3 linked regions of the Saccharomyces cerevisiae S288C genome follow. The protein of the gene in region 3 interacts with the protein of the main gene of each other region in a pairwise test. Each region holds a gene or a part of one and is shown on either strand. Other genes may lie near its edges. The genes, in order: RRD1, SPT4 and PSY2.

Evidence for each region.
Region 1: the proteins of PSY2 (region 3) and RRD1 interact in binary tests that used the Saccharomyces cerevisiae proteins (3 or more experiments, as listed by UniProt).
Region 2: the proteins of PSY2 (region 3) and SPT4 interact in a two-hybrid assay, tested with the Saccharomyces cerevisiae proteins (one study listed by BioGRID).

What each region holds. Positions count from the first base shown.
Region 1 is NC_001141.2:53,225-57,032, reverse strand, and holds RRD1 (peptidylprolyl isomerase RRD1), read right to left. Parts: upstream 1,836-3,808; coding exon 654-1,835; downstream 1-653. Other genes in the region: VPR1 (Vpr1p), read right to left, coding at 1-488; IMP21 (Imp21p), read left to right, coding at 2,012-3,052; GUT2 (glycerol-3-phosphate dehydrogenase), read left to right, coding at 3,325-3,808. UniProt on the Saccharomyces cerevisiae protein: PPIases accelerate the folding of proteins. It catalyzes the cis-trans isomerization of proline imidic peptide bonds in oligopeptides.
Region 2 is NC_001139.9:616,922-619,802, forward strand, and holds SPT4 (transcription elongation factor SPT4), read right to left. Parts: upstream 904-2,881; coding exon 595-903; downstream 1-594. Other genes in the region: membrane insertase COX18, read right to left, coding at 1-357; VHT1 (Vht1p), read right to left, coding at 1,156-2,881.
Region 3 is NC_001146.8:260,107-265,260, reverse strand, and holds PSY2 (Psy2p), read left to right. Parts: upstream 1-2,057; coding exon 2,058-4,634; downstream 4,635-5,154. Other genes in the region: GCR2 (Gcr2p), read left to right, coding at 1-335; NNR1 (NADHX epimerase), read left to right, coding at 808-1,548; SPS19 (2,4-dienoyl-CoA reductase (NADPH)), read right to left, coding at 4,805-5,154.

The sequences.
Region 1 (3,808 bases), on a different chromosome or scaffold from region 3:
ATAATTGTGTCAAACTTTGGTTTATGCGTCTGGATTATGGCATCCAGGTCCTTCACGGAGCTATGCAGTTGAGAAACAAGTTTAGAGTCAGTGTTGTAGAATGTTTGCGGCTGCTTTTCCTGTTTCTTTAGAGAACTATTACTTGCGGAGCTCGTCCACTGCGACTCCTGAACCAACTGTCGCAGGGGAGGCGTAGAGTTTTGTGATCGGATATTCTGGCGCTGCTGCTGCTGCTGCTGCTGCTTATGATGTTCTTGTTTCAGAACTAGCAATGAAATGGGCATATGATTACCGTCATGTTGCACGTTCGGTTGCACACTTGATTTCGATAGTATTTCTGAGAAACTGTTGGTGCTTTGTTGTTTTAAAGGGTGATGAGGTCGCCTGGTTGGAGACCAGGATATAGAGCTTAGGGACTGCCCCGGGGGGTGTTGTTGTTGCTGCTTCTGATCCTGATATATTACCAGGCCCCTTCTCTTGTGACTCATTTGCTTACACTGTGGCGACTTTTTCCACTTCTTTGTTTATTTGTATTACCGCTTCCTTTTCCTTTTTTCATCTGATTATATGCTTATATATTGTAGACGCAAGTAAAAAAGAACGAAAATAGAAGTCATAATGCTTGTCATACACATTTATATGTTTAATTAATATTATCTACGTAGTCTATCTCTTGAAAAAGAAGTCTGGTTCCGGTGCGACTGGTTTTGATGGCTTAGTAAATAGTTGATATTGTTACCTGACGGCGGAACGCCTGGGGGAGGCATTGACGTGGACGTTGGGAATCGTGTTGAAGTCTGTTCTCGACCGGGCGATCCTGCGTTAGCCTGTTCTATACTCTCTTCCTCCTTTTCTTCAAAGACTGGAAGATCAGTGCCGTTTTGAATGTTGACCCAGGGAAAGAAGCCTGTGCCGAACCAGAAATGTTGCACCACGGGGAACTTCTTCAGAACCTCTACAGAATACATTTTTAGAAGCCCCTTACACACTTTGGACCAGCGTGGAACGGTGACGGCAATATCGTATAGGATGGGGGAATGCTCTTCAAAGGGCCCCATTTTCACCTCATTAATAAAGTTTATGCCTTGGCAGTAGAAGTTGGTGTCCTTATACTCGCGCACCAGAGACTTATCCAGTATTTCTCTTGGTTGCAAGGGTGCTTGCGCATCAAGCAGCTGCCATTGAGACGAGCCCAAGATGTACACCAAGTGGAAATGGTCATCAAGCCCCCACACGCCATGTGACCCAGCGGGCTCCAGCGTATACGTCAGGATCAGCCTCCTCATGATCGTGTAGTACTTGTTGAACAGCAGAAAAACGTCTGCCCCCCTCATGTGCGGAAACATCCCCAGCATGTCCAGTGCTGCGACCGTGGCCATGAACGAAAGTTCGTGGCCCGTGCCGTAGTCCAATCTTGTCGACGAACCAAAGCTGTTGCCCAGGTAATACTGCAATTCAGGCACCACCTCATGGTATTCCGAGGGAAGCATTTCCTGCAGCCACTGAGGCAAACGTTCATCCAGCTTGTGATGCCACTCGCGGCATGCTAGGTTACCATACCTTCTAGGACCTGGAAGAGGCGGTGTCTCGTCGATCAGGTGTGCCAGCTTGTCCAACACTCCCATCAGCCCGTTAACCATGGCGATCGACGACGCAGTAGCGTGCGGGTCGGGGTCAGAACAGTGCGATATCAACGTAGTGTACTTGTGAAGATGATACTTGATTCTGTGAATGGCTAGTGACGATTGGAAGTCCAGCGTTGTCTGCGTATCGAAGATACGCTTCACCGGCGTAGAGAAGGTGGCGTGCGGCCAATCTACACGATCCAGAGACATTTCTTTGCTCGTTTAATGCTTGTTCATATGTGCGTTCTTTTGCACTTTGCACTTTCTTCCTATTTTATCTTTTTAAGAAAGCTTTAAAGGTCCGGAAAAAAGGCTTGATCAAACACAAGAGACTATGGAAAGGGTGAGTACCAAAAGAACCAACAAGAGAAACAACCAAGTACGCAATGCAGAAGAGCATATTGCTGACTAAACCTGACGGAACACAATCGAATCTACACAGCATCAAAACGGAAACGCCCACCACGGTGGAGTTCGACTCGGAGCAGATGGAAAGGGGCCACAGGGAAAGAGGTCGTAGCAAGAAGAAAAGAGGCGAACGAGACTCAAACGTGAGCAGTCTGTCGCGGTCGAGAAGCAGGGCCAGTAGCCGCAGCAGAGTAAGGGAGGAAGAGTTCCTCAAGTGGACCGTGTTGAGGCAGGACCCCTCGATGCGGTTGAGGGTCGTGGATGTGGATTCTGAAGAGGAAGGTGAGGGCAACGACGAAGATGACGACGACGGCGACGGCGACGATATGGACGAGGAAGAGTCCGATGAAGAGCAAGTGAGCGATATAGAGAACGATTTAGAGATTGACGAGGAGTTCCACTACGATCTGGGCATGAAAGTGTTACCCAACTTTTGTACCAGCATAAACGAAGTGCTAGACTCCAGCAAGCCCTGGATAGCCAAGTACGAGATCAGCATCCGTGGCCACGAAAACGAAGACGTGTCTCTGGAGCAACTCGACGGAGGCTACGTCAGAGCCATGCAACTACTCACCAAGGGTGCCGGCGCAGAGGCCGGGAACCAAAGGTCCTTCATCCTCTACACGGACCTGAGCAGCGAGTCCACCTACGCCCTGACCTATCTCATGGGCGCAGCTGTCAACCAGGGAGACACCGTCTACATTGTCCACTGGGAGCCCTCGAAGCCCACGGACGACTCCCAGATGTTCGCCAACGTTGCCAGAATCAGAAAGCACGTCATGCACCTGTTTGACTGCGTCGCGGGCGTGCTCGACGACCTCGACGTCGTCGTCCTCTCCTTGACCCATCCGTACCCAAAACACCTCCTCAACGAGATGATCCACGGCCTCAAGCCAGTCGCCCTGTGCTGCTCCCTCTCGGTCATCCTGTCCACTCTGCAGAACTTCGTCTGCTCTGTGCCCATCCTCGCGGTTAGAAAGAAGCTGAAACGTGCCAAGCGCAAGGGCATCAGCGAGTGACCAATAATCACTGCACTAATTCCTTTTTAGCAACACATACTTATATACAGCAACAGACCTTATGTCTTTTCTCTGCTCCGATACGTTATCCACCCAACTTTATTTCAGTTTTGGCAGGGGAAATTTCACAACCCCGCACGCTAAAAATCGTATTTAAACTTAAAAGAGAACAGCCACAAATAGGGAACTTTGGTCTAAAGCAAGGACTCTCCCTCCCTTATCTTGACCGTGCTATTGCCATCACTGCTACAAGACTAAATACGTACTAATATATGTTTTCGGTAACGAGAAGAAGAGCTGCCGGTGCAGCTGCTGCCATGGCCACAGCCACGGGGACGCTGTACTGGATGACTAGCCAAGGTGATAGGCCGTTAGTGCACAATGACCCGAGCTACATGGTGCAATTCCCCACCGCCGCTCCACCGCAGGTCTCTAGACGAGACCTGCTGGACCGTCTGGCCAAGACGCATCAATTCGACGTGTTGATCATCGGTGGCGGGGCCACGGGGACAGGATGTGCCCTAGATGCTGCGACCAGGGGACTCAATGTGGCCCTTGTTGAAAAGGGGGATTTTGCCTCGGGAACGTCGTCCAAATCTACCAAGATGATTCACGGTGGGGTGCGGTACTTAGAGAAGGCCTTCTGGGAGTTCTCCAAGGCACAACTGGATCTGGTCATCGAGGCACTCAACGAGCGTAAACATCTTATCAACACTGCCCCTCACCTGTGCACGGTGCTACCAATTCTGATCCCCA
Region 2 (2,881 bases), on a different chromosome or scaffold from region 3:
GCTAATTCTGGCGGCATTTCTAGACTTTTTATTAGTAACGGCTGCCAGTCGAAGTTTAATAATGGGCGTTATTGGCTGTACTAATTTCCTCAGTTCTTGTTGTTTCAAAATTCTCCTCCGCTGCCATATACTGAATGGCAGCGTCACGAGGGTTCTAAGGGTCATAGTAGTCAAAGGAACAAGCACTATCCATGGTATATGTGAGGCTTCATGCACTGTTAAAAACGTGTCCGCTACACTTTGAAAAAGTGAAAAGCTTCTCTTTGTACTTGGATTAGTCCTACCATATCGCAGACCGACTGAGCTGCACGAGAATGACGCAAAACCATTTTGACGATTGGCTAACCTCTTTAACATAATGCCATACTTTATCTTGAAATTTTCCTATCCTTGGACCTTTTTTTTCTAATGAAAGTCTTTTTAGCCTTAGTTGAATTACTGGACGGTAGAAAAATTGGGTTTGCCAGCAAAAACAAAAGTGCAGAACGTTAAATAAATGAAAGCATAAACTCATATGCTAGAATATTTACTAAAAAAAAAAAAAAGTAAAAAAAATTCATTACTATTATACATGTGATATCAGAACGGAAGGTTTTACTCAACTTGACTGCCATCCCTCGGTTTGTAGTGAGGCAACAGCTCCACAACCTCAGCTGGTAGTCTACCATCGACCTTGATGGCGTACATACCAGCTATACTATGATCTACGCTCAGCCACTTTGCTACCCACGACTTAGTAGGCTTACACATTCCTACGAGGCCCTCGAAAGAAGGCGACGTACATTCCATTGTAGAAACACCTGCCTCTTCAAAAATACCCTGACAGTTGGGACAACCATCTCTATTAAACTCATTTGTGGTCTGCACTATGCCACACAGCATACAGGCTCTTTCACTAGACATCTCTTACACTGTACCTCGTTCGCTTTTGCCAAACTGAATGTGGCCAGGTGTAATTATTACACAGTACATCCTTCGAGCCCTTTCTTAAATTTCACTTTTTCACTCGATTTCACTCATAGAACGTATAAGGTGACCTTTATCAACATCGAGATTAATTATAGATAGAAGATGATTAAATTATATACATGAATATATTTATTTGAGGTATGGTGTCTAAAGCGTAATATACCTATCTACTTCACGTAAATTGGACTACGAGGACCGCTTTAAATAGTAGTAACCATCTCTTTCCTCCATATTTTTCTTTACAAATTCTGGAAGCTCTTCACCCTTATTACTATCATACAAGATGATACCATTACCTAGAGCATGTTTCTTTTCGTTTCTCTTGTAAAAAAAAAGTACAACAAACGTCCATAAACCGTAAATAGCACCAAAAATTAAGCTCACGGTGTAACCAGTCTTAAAACGTGGTGACTCCACGGTAGGCCACGCCAAGGTAGGAATCCAGGCGTAAGTGGATTGAGAGAAGGAATAAATGGCGATCCATGTAATAGCCTTCACCTGAGGATCAAACCTTAAGAAGTCATTAATAAACGACCATAGACAAGGCGATGCGGCCACACTGAAATACGTGGTGAAGAAAGCGTACCATTTAGCTTTCGAAGGAATATCCCACTTGATAAGTAAGGCACAAGAAACGGTATTCATTATAGCAGCAAAAACCATGAATATCCACTTACATCTAAATAAATCGGCACCAAAGGCACAAAAAATCACATACGCAAATCCTAAACATGCGGGTATAACACTCAGGTTGTTCACTTGGGCAATGGAGTACTTTGTATTAGACTTTAACCACAAAGTATATGAACCACTATACGCAGTCATGTTATTCCACGAACATGTATCAAAAACAACAAGTACCCAGAATGCTGGAGTACAAAATACTTTCTTCCAAAGTTTTCTGCTCCATAATGGGGCTAGCTTACTTTTATCAACACCATCTTTGATTTGGTTCCTCTTATTTCTGGCCCTTGCAATTCGTATTTCTTCGTCAGTCAGAAATAAAGAGTAACACTTAGATGGTACACCGGGAATAACAAAAAAACCAATAATAGCCGTGGGAAGAGAAATTGCAATGGCATCGATCAGAAACATCCATCTCCAGCCTGCTAGACCATGGACGCCGTTCAAACTTTTGAATATGCGACTTTGCAGAAGTCCTGAAGTCACGGAACCCAATTGTTGCCCACAAAAGAATAAACAGACTCTTGAATTAATTTCATCTGGGGCATACCAACAACCTAGTATATATTGGGACACTGGGTAGTAAGCAGCGCCAAAGGCACTTAAAATAAATCTGTAAGCCCTTAGTTCGGCTAGTGAGTTTGCCCTATAACATGCAAATGTGAACCAAGTCCAGCCCAAGTCCATTACAGGCAAAATAATATGAGAGGGAAATCTTGGTAACAAATACATAAATGGTAATTGGAAGACAATGGCACCAACATTAGCAATAGTAGAAGTGTAAACGTAATCATTACCTTTCATGTTTAAATCTTCCTTCATATTGGAAACATATGCGTTAGTGTAGTTATTCAAATCCACTGACTTGGACCAACATAACATAAAAAAGTATAAAGCAATAATAATGTCTAGCTTGTAAAGAAGCCGTCTTTCAGCCTTGGTTTGAGTAGTATGATTAGGATACAAAAACTCGTACCACTTACGTGATTTCTTGTATTCCTTATTAACACGATACTCGAATTCATCAAAATATTTCCACCATTTACGCCCAGCTTCATCTCTCACTTCATATGGCAAGTCATGCCTTAAATTGTGAGGATGAGGTTCTACAGCTGTAGTTTCTGCCGTAACGTCTGTCTTCGAGGACTTATCTACGCTATGATGTAGCTCCTCTTCAGCTATGATACTGGAGTTAGTATCGTCTGAGTATAAGTACTGATCATCTTCG
Region 3 (5,154 bases):
TGCAACTGACAAATACGAGTAAGAGGCAGAGGCCGATGACAACTGCAGCAGAGGGTGCGTTAATAAATGATGGTCCGGACACTAATTTAAACGCGAATAACACCCAAATGAAAGTTGATTTAAATCCTTCAAACAGCATGGGACCTATAGATACAGAAGCCGTGATACGCCCATTGAAAGAAGCTTATGACGCAATCATTTCTGAAAAAGGCCAAAGAATTGTGCAATTAGAAAGAGAATTGGAATTACAGCGCCAAGAGACGCAGTGGTTAAGGAAAATGTTAATTGAAGACATGGGTTGTGTTAGAAGTATGTTAAGGGATTTACAAAGATGACACGATAATAATGTTTAACATATATTGCTTTCTCTTTTAATTTTCTGGTGTAGATTGGCGGTATAATTAACTATTTAACAGTGACGTTTACTATCTTACTGTTTCTTGTACTCTTTTATAATGAACAGACGTTATTATATAACTACGAACTAATGATAATTCTTTTTACGTTATTCCTGATGTAAAGGATACAAAATGGGTTTCTTTATTTTGCAGCAGAACCGTAAAATTTACGCTACTTTTACCGTGGGTCCTCTTATTTGATTGTTTCCGTCGCTACGAGCGAACAAGGGGTGGAGACAATAGGGATGGTGAATATATACACATACGTTCATATATAAGAAAAAAACTCAAGAAGAATATCAAACGACCAGGATCCTTGCTTATATTATTGTCTGTTGCTGGGCCAACACATATTTTCATTTCAACACACCAATCTCAGGTATTAAAGAGAAATCATTGTAAGGTAAAAATGTCTACGTTGAAAGTTGTTTCATCAAAGCTTGCAGCTGAAATCGACAAAGAATTGATGGGTCCTCAAATCGGATTCACTCTACAACAGCTAATGGAGTTAGCTGGGTTTAGTGTCGCGCAGGCTGTATGTCGCCAGTTTCCACTGAGAGGCAAGACAGAAACGGAAAAGGGCAAACATGTATTTGTTATTGCTGGGCCAGGTAACAATGGCGGGGATGGTCTCGTGTGCGCAAGACATTTGAAGCTTTTTGGTTACAACCCTGTTGTTTTCTACCCCAAGAGAAGCGAGCGCACTGAATTCTACAAACAGCTGGTTCACCAATTGAATTTTTTCAAAGTTCCTGTCCTGTCTCAAGATGAGGGAAACTGGCTGGAATATTTGAAGCCGGAAAAGACCTTATGCATTGTAGATGCAATATTTGGTTTTAGTTTCAAGCCTCCCATGAGAGAGCCATTCAAGGGCATTGTCGAAGAACTGTGCAAAGTGCAAAACATTATCCCGATTGTTTCGGTGGACGTCCCCACAGGTTGGGACGTTGACAAAGGTCCGATCTCTCAGCCCTCAATTAATCCTGCTGTTCTTGTATCTCTGACTGTCCCCAAGCCATGCAGCTCTCACATAAGGGAGAATCAAACAACTCATTACGTGGGGGGAAGATTCATTCCTCGAGATTTCGCCAATAAATTCGGCTTTGAGCCATTTGGATATGAATCCACAGACCAAATATTGAAACTCTGATAGCCCAAATCTATAATGCCACTACCATACATAATTTTTATATAATCCCTTATTTTGTGAACAAATAGCCATCATGATTCTCTTTTAAGATGATAAAACCGTCGTTTCTTTTTCTGACGCGCCATCTTTTCTTTTTCTATCTGTCTTTTTTTTTTTTCCTTTGGTGTTTCATCCGAAGAAGAAACAAAAGAAAGAAGACCAATACTTTCTAAAGGGCAATTGCAAGGTAGATATAACTAGAATTGCACAATAGAGATTGCTTGCATCAGTGGCATAGTTAACAATATTTTCTCGGCCTCCTTTGACGTAAAATCTAAAAGACCTAGTGCTTTCAAAACCCGCGCATACTGAAAAAAAAAAAAATAAAGAAGAGTGTACTGAACTGGTACTATAATTCATCGAAACTCATTTATTCCATATTAAACCGGTAGAAAACAGTATTTTTTTTGGTCTGTGTTTGAAACAGAAATTCTAACTGAAAAGTTTAGGATTTACGTATAGTAAGAGTAATGTCATTACCGGGTACACCTACTACATCTCCGACCCCGATGGATGAGGATACTGAACAAGCCGTTTCGGTTAATACTGAACCCAAAAGAGTAAAGGTTTACATTTTAGAGAACAACGAATGGAAAGACACAGGTACAGGGTTTTGTATAGGGGAGGTGGACGAAGGTAAGTTCGCATATCTTGTTGTCTCAGATGAAGACTCCCCAACTGAAACTTTACTAAAATCCAAACTAGAAGGAAATATTGAATATCAACGGCAGGAGGAAACGCTTATTGTTTGGAAGGATTTAGGGGGGAAAGATATAGCCTTGAGTTTTGAAGAAAGTATGGGATGTGACACCTTATGTGAATTCATTGTTCACGTCCAAAGGAACATAGAGTCAAATATTTCTTTAGTCACCGTAAAATCCAGCGACAACGGACTCGGGTCTGTTCACGACATTATAACGGGCCCTGTGACCTTGCCCTCCAACGACCAGCAACAGAATAGTCAAACTTTACTAGAAGCTCTAAAGATTTTGAATGAAAATACTTCTTTCGATTTTTTGAAAAACGAAACCATTGAGTTTATCCTCCAGTCAAATTACATTGATACACTGATTTCTCATTTCCACAAAGCAGAAGAAGAAAAGATACCGAAGGATTTATTTTTGCTAAGTAACATCATCAAAACTTTGATACTTTACAATAAAAGAGACATATTGGAGTCAATGGTGGAGGACGATAGGATTATGGGAATAGTTGGGATTTTAGAATACGATACTGAATACCCTACATCAAAGGCAAATCATAGGAAATATTTAGGATCAAAAGGTCCCAATTTCAAAGAGGTTATTCCATTGGAAAATGAGGACTTAAAAATAATAATGAAAAAATGTTTTCGCTTACAGTTCTTAAAAGACGTGGTATTAGTACGATTTTTAGACGATCATAATTTCAACTTAATCTCGGAAATTGTCATGGACCTGGAAACGTGTATAATCGACTTTCTTCAAGTAGGGACGTTTTTGGACAGACTAATAGAGCTTTATGATACCAAAACCCTTCCAGAAAGCTCTTCAGAGAAGGAGAAGTTTGTACAAAAACGAAAAGACGGGATTAGATTGTTGCAACAGTGTGTTCAAATGTCAATCAATTTAGATGCGGTTGACCGTTCTAAGTTCTATAAAACACTTGTTCGAAAGGGTCTATTCAAAGTTTTAGATTATGCATTTCACATGGAGACGGATAGTAATGTTAGGATTTTAGCTACGGATACTATCATTACTATAATCGAACACGATATCTTGTTAATTCACAACGTTCAGAATGAAGATTCTTTCAAACGGCAACATAAATCAGCGCCCGATGACAAGTCTTCCCATCGGAAATATCCGCAGGATTACAGCTCCAGTACTGATTCCAAGTTGTTATTGATACTTTCAACCATTCTTCTGTCCGACAGGAGTCCCGGATTGCGAGAACAAGTTGTGCAAGCGCTAAATACTTTGCTTCACCCTGAAGGATGTGTGGGTAATGGAGAAGGTTCATATGATCTTATGGGCAGATCAAATTATGAAGCTAAGAACACATCTGAAGATTTCCCAAGTTTCAGTTATGGTTTAAACTCGGATTCAATCAATTTAAATAACTATCACTATAGCAGCGATGAAATGAATAATCTAGAGCCAGAATCTGAATCTGAATTTCAAGTAATGGAATATTTTGCAAATTTCTATAATAAAATCGCACCCATACTGTTTGGTCCATTAATCAAGAAGGATATCACAACGGAAATGGCAGAAATAGATGGGCAAATAGAAAAGGTTACAAAAGACGATCTTTTGTTAATTCATTTAGTGAAATTGGTATCATTTGTTTGCACTGAGCATGATCGTGTCTTATCCAGAAGATTCATATTAGAAAACGGTATACTAGATTCTGTTAGCAAACTTATCGGCGGTAATCATATGATGCAGCTAAGGTTAACAGCAGTAAGATGCATTAAAAACCTTATGTGTCTCGATGATAAATACTATCATCGATATATGATTTCAAAAAATTTATATGCGCCGGTTTTTAAACTCTTCCAGGAGAACATAGATAAGAATAATCTTGCAAATTCATGCATTCAAGATTTTTTCCGCATTATTATAACAGAATGTAGAGCTTATCAAAGTGATGGCCATAACAGAAAGGAAAAAACCAATGGTTCTTATGATGGCAACGGTAATGACGTCAAAACGAACGTGAACAACAATAGGACAAACTTTACCATTTTAAACAAATACTTAGTTCAAACATATGGTGATGTCTTGAGAAAAGCTACTGATATCCCTTTCATCCAGGATATGCTAGAAACCGGGGAAGAAAACCAACCCGATCATTCTAGCTTTGAAAATAGCATTGAAGGGGGGAATGACATTTCTGTAAATATGTCAACAGATGGATTTGCTTCGAATCATTTAGAAGATATTGACATTAAAAACGTCAAAAGATTACATTCTGAGATTGAACACTTTGAAAATGACCCCCATTATTCTGGTGATCAGTTAGCATTTAAAAAAAGCGTTGACCAAATGAATGCAAGTACTTGAGTTTTTCCTTGTTGGAAAGAAGAATAAAAAGCTAGCACAACGGTCATGGTTGTAAGAAGTTTAACAACGATAGTGCACTCATTGTATATAAAATTCATCAATATACAATTAACTATCAAAAAGCATACGAGAAAGTGTCATATAATAATAGTACTCAATACCTATACGTATTATAATTTAGATGTCATACTCTTTATTAAGGCTTCTGGATACAACTCATGTCCAAAATAGGTCCCTAAATGCCACATACCACCGTCAACAACTAAGACGGTACCGGTGACATACGATGCGGCGGGTGAAAAAATATAAACAGTAGATTCGGCTATATCCCGTGTAGATCCAAGCCTTTGTAATGGTATCTTTGCCAAGGCCTTTTCCTTATATTTTTTGCCGGCTAATCTCTTCAAGCCTTCCGTATTATCGATAGCACCTGGAGCAATGCAATTCGAACGTATACCCAGAGGCCCCAACTCAACCGCTAAATTCTTTGCCAATGCGTCTATTCCCGCTTTAGCAGCGC